Mus musculus: one gene and its partner. The protein of the gene in region 1 purifies or fractionates together with the protein of each later gene. This does not show direct contact. Links are inferred from orthologs where the notes say so. Each region holds a gene or a part of one and is shown on either strand. Other genes may lie near its edges.

Region 1 (6,102 bases):
TCACTGGGCCATCAAACCACGGGCATACAGAAGAATAGTAAGGAAAAGGAGTTGGAGAAGAGAATAATGAAAATTCTATACAGACATGAGTATGTCACAGCAAAGCCATTACATTTCTCTTTGTAGAAGATTCAGCTGTTTTTAGTGCTGCACTCCAACTTTATCAGGGAAGTCATGGGGACCTGGTACTCAGAAAGTTGAAGAAAGATAAAAGGCCAGCTTACATCTACAAAGGCCTATCCTCATAAACAACCCAGCTAACAACACCCAACACTTAGGAACCCTTACCTTCACATTTGTCACAAATCACATTCTTTTGCAGAGCCAGTTTTCTTGTTGCACCATTATATAAGTCTTCTAAGGTCACTGAGAGCTGATGAACAACATTTTTACCTAGAATAAAACACTGCTCATTAAACACCCATCTGTAACGTTTCTTTGTTGAAGGCACTATAAAAATGGCAAAGGATAATGGAAGACCAGCCTCAAACTATACATCTTTTTGAGCTATACTCATATACAACACTCATCTAATCACTTGATTTTCAAACTAATCTAATCATAAATGAGGAAAATTATGTGAGCAGTTCATCTATCTGCCTAAGAACACAGAGGCCCTCTCAGAAATCCAGCAATTAAAATACTACCCTTAAAAGTCACTCAATGTTCAGGCACATTTCACAATGCTAAGCATGGATCCCTTTGAAGGTTTTACTTATTAGGCATTATTAAGCAACATGGCTAGTTACTTAATCCAAACATTCTTTAGCACAGTAAATTCTTTCTAATCAAGATTGGCTGGAGAAGCCAATATTGAGACACTACTGAAATAGCAATTTCTACTTCAGTTTCAATAGTTTTTATTGCTAGGCTAGCACTGGTTGTCTCAAATTTCCCAGGCCTTTTGTTATATATTATACAGTCCAACAGAACTTTCTGTAGCAATGGACACATTTTACATGTACAATACTAGATACAATTTTAAGTGTGGTGGCTACTACAGCTGCAGAGAAATTTTTCCCTCTAAATTAATCTCATCTTAAAGACCCATATCTGGCTAGAGCAAAAGATTGCCACATAGCCGAAGTAGGTTGGTTGAGATCACATAAGGACAGCCAGGTTAGAGAAATGAAATCACCTGTCAACGGTTAATAAGTCCCTAGCTGGTGATCCTTCCCCTAGGACTTTATCCACGGCCCGCCACGAGCATTGCCTGATTACCAAAGAAAGTCCCAATCCTTTCTGAATATCCGAATATTCTTACTCTTTAAGTAAGGAGTTAAAATTAAAGTCACGACATTGTGCTGCTTTCTCATTTTCACTTTGTAAGCAAGTAGGTTCTCACAAATTGAAAGTCCGAGCTTTCTCAACTTTATACAGAGTACAGAAAGGAAAAAGCAAGCTTCTGGAAACTGACGGAGTCCATTCTCCAAAGCAGCACAGTTAACAAAAGCCCTCAAACTCATCTAAGCCAAAGTCAGTCTACCTTTCTGTAGCTCATACCATCTTATGGCTGAGCAGGCCGACTGCGATTATAGGTTGGTTTTTTAAATATGTTTATGTGAAAACCAAGAGGCCAGAAGAAGCAGCTGCTGGTCCCCTGGAGCTGGAGTTTCAGGCAGTGGTGAGCCAGCTATCGAGTGTGGGTGTGGGAAACAGAACCTGGATCTTCTACAAGGAATGGCAAATGCTCTTGACTTAATCACTGAGCAGTTTCTCAGGCCCACAGGTTAATTGTTCTAAAAACATAGTAAACAGTTTTTCCAAGTCCCTTTAAGGAGCAAAGTGAAATTTAATGGCCTGCCTATTTGTTCTAGAACTGTGCCTATGAACTAGTTTATATTAACTATATATACTGAGAACAAAGTGCTATTTTACCCTTCAATACTGTCTTCCCATAGACATCTTTTGGCCAAACACTAAACACATTAAGCTGAGCTAGCAGAGCTGAAACAAGAGTCAACAGCAGCAGCTATCTGCAGACAATGAGCTTTTCTCAGGCTCTGCTTGCTCAGGGTTACTTTTCTAACAGAAAGGGCCACTGCACTTACCACTGGGTTCTAAGAGCAGGTGGTATTATCCAAGGGAGGACAGGGCTTAGAAACCTAAGTTAGTACACTTTGTTACCCCCACTGTTTGGGAATCTATGGGGTTAGTTATACCTGCTTTTTGGCTTAGCTATTTTTTAGTTACAGAAAATCTCAATGACACCAGAAGTCAAAGACAGTTCACGGACAGAGTGTAACATCATACCAACGTGTAAACAAGCATTTGAATAAATTCTCAAGTCTTTTTTTTCCGCAGCAGTTATTTCGTTCTAGCTGCAGGTAAGCCAGATTTTTCTTACCTCTCCTTTCTCTTTGCATTCTTCCTCCTCCTCCAAAGAACATATCAAAGATATCCATGGGTGAGCCAAAACCACCACCTGCTCCGCCCTCTTTAATCGCCTGCTCCCCTCCTTTATCATATAGTTCCCTTTTTTTGGAATCAGCAAGAACTTCATAAGCTTGAGAAATCTGTTTAAACTGTTTCAGAAAAGGACATCCCATTAGAAACAACTGTTACAAAGCACAGCTACGGTAGACTTTAAGGCACGAACAGAAAGATACACACACTGCAACACTGCTGCTGAGCTGTTTGCCTGTGCCCTTACCTTTTCCCCTTCATTTGGATTCTTATCAGGGTGGTACTTCAAGGCCAATTTTCTATATGCCTTTTTCAATTCTTCCTGGGTGGCATTGGGTTTTACCCCCAAAACATCGTAGTAAGTGGTTTCTTTCACCATTTTTTACAGCCTGAAACCAGAAAATGGTAATTTTAAACCAGCTTTAAACTTTTGTAGAAAAGATCCAACTGCTTCTGCCTCCTGAGCACTGGGATCAAAGGTGTGCGCCACGACTGGCTCTTAACGGGTAGTCTTTAACTACCAGAGCTAAAGCAATCTGTTCTTTTGCATTTATTTCATACTAATACAGCCTTCCCTACGCGTCTTAAAAGGTAAAAAAAAATTCCTGATATGATTCAGCTGTAAACTCGAACAGATTAAAATATAGATTTCAGGGAACGCGAAGGAAAGCCTCTCTCGCAGCTGGTTCAGACTCTACTGCACTAACACATGAATTATTTGGCTTCTTCCGGTTTCCTTTCCCCAGAGGTTTTGCTAGTAACCCACAGCAGCACTGATAGGTTCCGTCCACTGGTTAGTACATTACCGCTGCCTTTGTACATCTGATAAAGGCCATACCCTCGCCGGAAAGCGACACTGGACTCCCGGGGGTGGAGGAGTGGCTTAGGAGACCGGCTCCAGGGAGCAGGTGCCCGGGCCCCGTCGCCATCCTGCTCCTGCTCGCTCGCAGCTTACCCACTCTCGCCCCGCAGGCCTGGAAGCTGGCTCGCCCTCTGGGTTTCCCGGGCCCCCCGGCGCCGACCGTTAAGGCTTCCTTCCTTTCTCCCTCCCACCCTGATCGAAAAGGCGGAGGGGGGGGGGAGGTCGAACCTCAACAAAGAGAGGGAGGAGAGCCAGGAGAAGCGCAAGCCGCAGCCTCCGCCCGGCTCCTCCCGCAGCCCCTCACCCCTGCCTTGCTCCGCGCGTGCGCAGCGCTGCCCACCCGGCCCGGGCGGCGGAGCGCGGGGGTACGCAGCAAGGAGCATGAGGCGGGAGGCCAATTGGCTTGGGCCTTGGACCTCCTCGAGGCGTGCGGGCGGGCAGGGCGCCGGGCATTCCCGGCAGCCTTCCGAAGCCCGAGGCCGGCTCAAGGAACCCGCAGTCCCCGCCCACGCGGGACCAACCGCCTCCGGCTGCGCCTTCCCCGGCTGTCTGGGGTCCAGACCGCACGCCGCGACCGAGGGAGGCCGGAGACTCACCGGTGAGCGGGCCGGCGCCGGAGAGCGGAAAGGAGCGGAGCACAGCGCAGCTCAGCCACACGCTGCTCCTCCACCACCCACCGAGCGTTCTGGAAAGTTCCGCCCGGCCCGCCGCAGCCGACCTCTTTTGTAGCCGAGCCCCGGCGCGTCACTTGCCGGAAGTCCCGCCCCTCGCCGCTGCCACCGCCCCTCGGTTACCTGGGCAACGGCGCGGGGGCGGGAAGTGGCTGCGCCCAAGGGCCTTGTGGGGGTGGACTCAAGCCCGGGTTCCCGAGCCTCGTAGAATTTTCTAGAGGCTTTTTTTCTTATTGCGAGGAACCAGAGTGCGGAAGTCTTGAGGTGGAGAGGTCATGTCCCAGAGCCCGTAAGCCGGGGACGAGTGCTTCAGGCGTTGTGCGCGCTGTGCTGAAGGGGATTGGTGGAACCCAGCCCTGGCTGCGAGTCTGATTTTCTGCAGCTCCAGCTCCTTAGCTCTGAGCCTTGCGGGCAAGAAATGCTGAGCAAGGCGGGCCTACTCCCTAAACCAGCCTCGCAGGCTTTGGTTTCACCCAAGCGCACTTATGTCAGAGCTTTTTGGACGAGCCTGGCCCAGGCTTCAGATCCTTTTGGCTCTGACGACTTGGGCGGAGGGAATCTGGGACTTCACCAAACAGGAAAACATTTAGAATGCCTCATGCTAACGGAGGGTCATGGTCTTCCACCCAGTTTGGCCGCAGAGGAGCGGCCAAAAGCAAAATTAATTGCTTTAGCTTATTGTTTTAATTCTCTGACCGTTTTTATTTCCAGTTGGTGACTCAAAAATCTATAGTTGGCAAAGTTGAATCTTAAGCTTTCAAAGGACAGAGTGAATGTTTTTCTTATTCACTAACACAATAGATACATCAAAGAAGTGGAGGTGTAAGCTTGAAAGAGTTCACATATTTTAAAGATTTATTTTGAATCCTCTGTGTGTGTGTGTGTGTGTAGGTGCCCAAGGAAGCCAGAGGCATGGAGTCTTAAGTCTGGCTTCAAATTCTGAAATCTCCTGTCTCTGAGCAGTTGTGAAGGGTGGTACATGCTCTTAACCGCGGGGCCTCTTGCTTGGACTTTCGTTGGAAGTGGAACAAGCTAAAAACTTATAAGAGAAATCACAAAATACAGGTCAGCAGGTGAACAAGAAGCAGTTAAGCACACTTCCTAATGGAAGTGCAGAGTGTGGGATGAGATTCTTTAAATGTTCGTTTTATTGTGTGTTTCTAGGCTTGTGGACCATTGTAGTTCTCTCGTACCTTTGCACGGGCAACTCAAGTCTTCAGTGCGTTACCAGCTGAGCGGCTGTCTCAGTGCTTTATGGAGATCACAGGTAATTGGATGTAGCCAGAGCTAAGGGAGCTGGAAAGGCTGTCTTCAAACCTACCCAAAGACATCTTTAGCTCGTGGTCTTAAAAACCTCCGGATTTTGGGATTTCTACCTTGAGCTGTCCTGCCTCTCCACCGTTACTGCTTTCACTAAACTCTGTTGTGGTCACTAAAGCTACGCCACTTCCCTTACAGACTTTTTGATGATGTGCTGTGGTTTTGGTTGAGAAACATCTTTTCTCAGCTTACGTGTTACCCTCTCAGATATCACATCTATCAATAGGTTACGTCTTTAAAGCAGGGGCTCTTTACCTTCCTAACGCTGCGACCCTTTATTACAGCTCCTCATGTTGTGGTGTCCCCCAACCATAAAATTATTTTCATTGCTTCTTCATAACTGCAATGTTGTTACTGCTGTGAATTGTAATATAAATATGTGCCAAAGGTTTTCCGAAGGGATCAAAACCCACAGGTTTGAGAACTACTGCTTTAAGCCAACACTTTTGAGTAAAATATCTACTATGCCAGGCATACTCTAGGCCTTGCCAATACAAAACTCTTGTAAGCCATGGCCCCTACTCTCAAGGAACTTAACTCGTAATGAGATTAAAAACCAGAATTAAAAACAAAAAACCAAACCAAAACCATCCAACCAACCAACCAAAATTGCAGGACTAGGCTGATAAAGTCTGCCTTTAATCCCAGCACTCTGAAGGCAGAGGTAGGCAGATCTCTAATATAGAGGCCAGGCCAGTCTACATAGCAGGTTCCAGGGCAGCCAAAGCTACAGAGTAAGAAAGACCCTGTCTCAAAACAAATCAAACAAAAAACCTCGAAAATTACCAGCAACTTCATATGTGATAATTTTGTGTGGAAATGAGATCTTAGCTTAGTTTGGTA
Region 2 (5,995 bases), on another chromosome or scaffold:
GATGCTGACCCGAACCTTGAAGTGGCTGACCCCAGTGTCCTCTTCGACTTCTATGTCAACACATGCCTTAGCCAGGGCAGCCGTACCATCCGCACCGAGGTGAGCCGCAGCCCGAGTTCTTGCAGCCCACCTTGCGTGCCTTTTCTAAAATTTACTTATGAATGTTTTGTCTGCGTGTGCTTGTGCACATGAGGAGAGGGCATCGGATCCCATGAGACTACAGGTGTCAATAGTTATGAACTGTTATGTGGATTCTGAGAATTGAACTCAAGACTTCCCGGAGAGCAGCCAGTACTCCTAACCCATCTCTCCAGCCCCAGCCTAAAGAGCTTTTCTGAAGCTGGGATCTTTACCACAGCCAACTAGTAGCAGGGACTGAACACAAGAGCAATTAAGAGTTGCAGTCCTGGCCCTGTGCCCTGTGGTAGCCCTGTGTTCTTAGGTTGAGGGACCCAGGTGATCTGTCTGTCTGTCCCTCTGCAGGGCTTCTTGCTTCCGCTTCCTTGGTTGTATCCTAGGTCCCTCTGGGTGTTGGGGGAAAGTGTGCCACAAGCTCTGAGCATCCACAGGATCTATGCACCCATCCTGGAGACTAGCATGGGATTCAGTGCCTGTGGATATTATGGGGGAGGCTCTGTTGCTGTCAGCCTCAGGGGCAGTGACTATGCAGACGGGCAGCCCCAGTCTCCCTGTCTCTGAAGTCTTGCCCATATCACTAATTACTGTTCCACCAGTATCCCTCCTGACCCTGAGGTAGGTCTCACATGGGGCCTGAAAACAAGCAGCTGGGAAGGCTGCCTGGCTTCCTGGTCCCAACCAACTTCTTTTCTTCCAGGAGGCCATACTCATCTCGCTGGCTGCTCTGCAGCCTGGTCTCACCCAGGTGGGATCGAGGCCCGCCTCCCCGCTTTCTGGACCCAGGATGTAGAGGAAGCAGCAGGACAGGAGGATCATGGGAGTAGAGATGGTCAAGTCTTCTCTCCAAAAATAACTGCCTTTAATGTGAGTCAGCCCATCTCCCCAGGGGCTCCAGTGAGTCCTCCACCATCACTTGCTGCCAGCAGTGATAGCCTTGAGGTTTCCAGCTCGAGCCAGAATATTGGGCACGAAGAGCAATCCCGAGGCCCGCTCGATGCTCTCGATGGGCACCAGGAACCGCTCCAGAGGGATGGTCTCATCCACGGGGGCATTGGGCATCACGTAGGAACGTAGCTCGATCTGCCCACCGGCTGCCTCCAGGATCAGCACCTTGAAGAAGTGTGTGGGCACTGCCACGTGGTTCTTCCCAATAACCTGGTACTTCACATAGGACTTCCCATCAGCCTCGGTCCTGTGGATAGACCCGGGCGCATGGCCAAGAGGCCTGGTTACATACAAGGTCACCTCTTCCAGGAAGCCTTCCTAACTTCCAACAAGCAAGAAGTTTGTGCTGGGCCTGGTGCCTCCTTGGGTCTGGGAACTATGTAAGGTGGGGACCAATGCTTAACCTCTGCTTTTCTGCCCAATACTGCTTCAGACAGAATGGGAGGCAATAAACGCAGCTAGAGGAATGAGCTCTCTAGACCCTGATGCTCACCTATGCTCACGTGACTGTAACCTGTCCCGTAGGCAGTACACCTAACAAGCACGAGTGGGAGGCCATGCTGGGGAACCCCAGCCCCAGCCTGGTGCTCGGGTGGCGTCACACCGCGCCACGCCAGATGGCCTGTAGTGGATGCCTGTAGCTTCTGGTTTCCGCAGCAGCCGCTGCCTCCTGCAGCCCGTGCTGCAGCCCGTGCTGCTGCTGCTGCTGCTGCTGCTGCTGCTGCTTTCTGTGCCCTCCCGAGGAGCTCAGCTCATTTGTCTGCCAGGAATCCTTAGCACGTCAGAGGCAAGGGTGACAGCCTCCCGTGCAGCCACGGGTTACAGGTGGTAAGGCAGGTCAGACGTGGGGAGCAAAGGCAGGTGTGGGGCCAGGCACCTGAGGGCACAGCAGAGTTCTAGGCCACCCAAAGGTCTCTGGCTACAGTGACACAGAAAGCCCAAGGTTGGAGAACAGGAGTCGGAGGCCCCGTCAGCTACAGGCTTACCTGGGCAGGAAAAGCGGCCCCGTGCAGACATAGACATTTTGGTAAGTTCGCGTCAAGCTGCGGCTGTACCTCTCAAGGTTGTTCCAGGCATTCTGGTTGAGGTGTGGCACCTGGTGGGAGAAGCGAGGCTCAGGAGCACACCTCGGACCTTCCATTAGGCATGCCCCAGCTCTTAATGTCAATGCCCAAACATTTGAAGGACAAGGGCTCAAAGAAGGGCTCCCTCCTTACGGCTCTGTGACTACAGTTTTTGAGCCAGTGCTAGCCACACTCCATTCCTGGCACTCCAATGCTCTAAGCTTTCCCCATCTCAAGGGAAGGAGGAAGGAGGGGACATTAGTCATTCAGAGACCCCCAAGGTCTCTTGGAACTCCCAAACCTTAGGTCAAGCTCTAAAGGCACGGGGACTGGACAGTGCTGGTGTGCACCTTTAATCCCAGCACTCAGGAGGCAGAGGCAGGCAGATCTCTTGAGTTCCTGGGCAGCCTGGAAAATCGAGCAACAAAAGGTGTGGGGTGGGATATGGTCTCCTGTCCATCTCCATCCACTGGGTGGATGTCCCAGGAACCTACTTCACAATCAAGACCCTGCTGGGAGCAGGTGCAGTGCTAACAGTGTGCCCTGGAGGCCTGACTGGCCCTAGGCCAGCAGGGTAGACTGAGGAGTCAAGCTCCCGGGTTCCCTGAGGAAGCACACTGGGTGGCTTGCTGACAGGCATTGCTGCAGCCCGTCACTACTTGGTGCACTGCTTCCCACGGGAGGCTGAAGAAGGATAAACCCCGGATTCTGCAGTGCCACTGTAAGATTCCTCCCTCCCGCCACGGTGCACGTGTAAAGTAAGATCTAGACGCTGCAGTCGGGCGGGCGACCAGGGTCCGAGACTACCTGAGGCGCTACGTTGCTCAGGTAGAAGGTGTCGTCCATGGCCCGCTGACTCCAGCGGTGGTTGGCGGCGGCGGCCAAATGGCCGCGGTCAAAGCCACTGCCGCGGTAGTCCGCATTGGTGGCGCGGTGGTACGCGTGCACAGAGTCATCCTCGCGGAAGTCGCAGGCGCTACGGTCCCCGTCGCCACGGAGCCGCTCTGGCCTCAGCTGCTCCAACACCCAGAGCGCACCGCGCGTGCGCGGGTCGTAGCTAAGCACGTAGGACTCGCGGCTCCGGAGCTGCGCCACGCCGGGCAGCCCGTACTTGGCCAGTTCCCCGGTGCCGCCCGCCGGTCCCCCCGGCAGCGCGGGAAGATCGGCCGCGACCACCGGCAACAATGGCACTCGGCCCAGCAGCCCCGGCGCTTTGCCCTCCCGCCGCCGCCAATGCTCTGCCGCGGCGCCCAGCCCCGCGCCCAGCGCTAGGGTCAGGCCGGCCCGCAGCGCGCGCATGCCTACCGGAGGACAAGGACGCTACTGATGTTAGCACAGAGTGAAGGAGCCTGTGCTGGCGTGGCCCCCGACGCCCTTCAGCTGCCCTTTTAAGACGTAGCTGGGTCCTGGTGCCGCCCTACTCGCTTGCCATTGGTCGTTCCACGTCGGGCTCCGCCTCGCCATGTACACCTCACATGGCCCTGCTTTTAAACAGGACAGAACCCCAGATCTGTCAGACCCCTCAGGTGCACCCACCCTCCTGCCACCAAACGAGCGAAGGATTTCTCTAGATTGATTAACAGAAGAATGCAGGTGTAGCTATTGATAGCCGCCTGGAACCTAAGCTTGCTATATAAGGTTAGAGAAAATAGCTATGCTAGGGTCATACTTTTCAACCCACTTAAAGGGTTTGGCCTGGGAAGTATGTTGTGTTGGCCAATGTTTCCTGTCCGTAGGTCAGGGGCTGGCTAAAGATATTTCCTACATTTCAGATGGAATAGTATTTAACTTATGAATATTTTAAGACATCAACTTCCTTACAACCTATTAAGACGGAGGAAGACCGATACATAAAAACTGAAGAAAATAGGGCTGAGAGTGTACAGTCAGAGCCACACTCATTAGCATGGGACAAAACCAATTATACATTAAAAGATAATTGGGGGATGGCTGGGGGGATGGCTGAGGGGTTAAGAGCTCTTCCAGAGGTCCTGAGTTCAGTTCCTAGCAACCACGTGATGGTTCACAACCATCTGTAATGGGATCAGATGCCCTCTTCTGGTGTGTCTGAAGACAGTGTATTCATATCCATAGAATAATTCTTTTTGTAAAAGGATTTATTTATATATTACATATACAATGTTCTGCCTGCACGATACCTGCAGTCCAGAAAAGGGCACCAGACTTCATTATGGATGGTTATGAGCCACCATGTGGTTGCTGGGAATTGAACTCAGGACCTCTGGAAGAATAGCCAGTGCTCTTAACATCTGAACCATCTCTCTAGCCTGAATAATAATTTTTTTTCTTTTAAGATACATTGGGAAATAGGGCATCTGCAGGTGTTGATGGGTAAGAAGGCAATGGAGGGAAATCATACAAATACCGTGTACATGTGTGAACATGTTATGATGAAACTTGGGCTTGTTTGCTTGGTTGGATTTTTTTAGACAGGGTTTCTCTGTGTAGTCCTGGCTGGCCTGGAACTCACTCTGTAGACCAGGCTGGCCTCGAACTCAGAGATCCGCCTCCCTCTGCCTCCTAAGTGCTGGAATTTAAGGTGTATGTCACCACAGACTGTTGAAAAAATGAAAAAAAAAAGACAAAGTTGTAGACTGGAGACATGGTGCAGCAGTTCAGAGCACATGTTGGTCTAGCAATGGACCCAGGTTCAGTTCCCAGCACCTATATGGTGGCTCACAACCATCTGTAACACCAAAGGATTTGTAGGCAAACACCTATATAGACAACATAATTTTGTTTTGTTTTGTTTTTTAAAGATTTATTTATTTATTATATGTAAGTACATTGTAGCTGTCTTCAGACACTCCAGAAGAGGGAGTCAGATCTTGTTACAGATGGTTGTGAGCCACCATGTGGTTGCTGGGATTTGAACTCTGGACCTTCGGAAGAGCAGTCGGGTGCTCTTACCCACCTGAGCCATCTCACCAGCCCCATAATTTTGTTTTTTAAAGAGCATATTCAACTCTTGCAGAGAACCCAAGTTAAGTGACAGGCAGCTCACAATGTCCTATAGCTTCAGTTCTCGGGACCCATTATATTCTGAACTGTGCAGCCTCTGCAGTTCTAAGGTGAAGGATTCAGCTCAAGTGACCAGAATTTTGCTTGCTTTCTTTTCTTTTCTTTTCTTTTTTTTTCTTTTAAAAAGATTTATTTGTTTTATATATGTGAGTACACTGTCTTCAGACACACTGAAAAAGGGCATCAGATTCCATTACAGATGGTTGTGAGCCACCATGTGGTTGCTGGGAATTTAACTCAAGGCCTCTGGAAGAGAAGTCAGTGCTCTTAACCTCTGAGCCATCTCTAAAGCCTACAACTTTGGTTTCTCTAAAAACACTGTTATAGCCGGGCGGTGGCGGCACATGCCTTTAATCCCAGCACTCGGGAGGCAGAGACAGGCAGATTCCTGAGTTCCAGGCCAGCCTGGTCTACAAAGTGAGTTCCAGGACAGCCAGGGCTATACAGAGAAACCCTGTCTCAAAACAACAACAACAGCAAAAACAAAAAACAAAACAAAAAAACCAACCAACCAAAAAAAAAAAAAACAAAAAAACCACAGTTATATTTCGTGAACATGATTTTGTTTTAATCCCAAGTGTGGGATATGGGGCTGCTTCAGACTGTGCACAGCCGATAACTATGATTGTCTCATGCTCTAGGAGGGACAGCATTTTTGGCAGCTGCAGATAGTTTATGTTTGTAATTCTGGGGACTCTTGAAAGGGAATAAAGCTGAGAACCCTGAGAGGGCCTGTGATGGCTGTGGGCCCTGCTGCCACTGGTCCCTGCTGCTGCATTTGCTATTGGTCCATTGTTGCTATTGCT

What was found.
Region 2: the proteins of Dnaja1 (region 1) and Endog purify together in Homo sapiens (affinity purification with mass spectrometry; 3 studies listed by BioGRID and IntAct, counting the BioPlex papers as one, with this or other methods). This does not show direct contact. The link is inferred for Mus musculus from reciprocal best matches to the Homo sapiens genes DNAJA1 and ENDOG.

Annotation. Positions count from the first base shown.
Region 1 is NC_000070.6:40,720,396-40,726,497, reverse strand, and holds the start of Dnaja1 (dnaJ homolog subfamily A member 1), read right to left. Parts: upstream 4,031-6,102; 5' UTR 3,865-4,030; exon of another isoform or gene 3,657-3,864; intron 3,582-3,656; exon of another isoform or gene 3,362-3,581; intron 2,796-3,361; 5' UTR 2,786-2,795; coding exon 2,654-2,785; intron 2,526-2,653; coding exon 2,348-2,525; intron 394-2,347; coding exon 289-393; intron 1-288.
Region 2 is NC_000068.7:30,169,026-30,175,020, reverse strand, and holds Endog (endonuclease G, mitochondrial precursor), read right to left. Parts: upstream 3,498-5,995; 5' UTR 3,447-3,497; coding exon 2,955-3,446; intron 2,180-2,954; coding exon 2,070-2,179; intron 1,961-2,069; exon of another isoform or gene 1,577-1,960; intron 1,576-1,576; exon of another isoform or gene 1,331-1,575; coding exon 1,048-1,330; 3' UTR 952-1,047; downstream 1-951. Other genes in the region: Spout1 (putative methyltransferase C9orf114 homolog), read left to right, coding at 1-99, 836-928. UniProt on the Homo sapiens protein: Endonuclease that preferentially catalyzes the cleavage of double-stranded 5-hydroxymethylcytosine (5hmC)-modified DNA.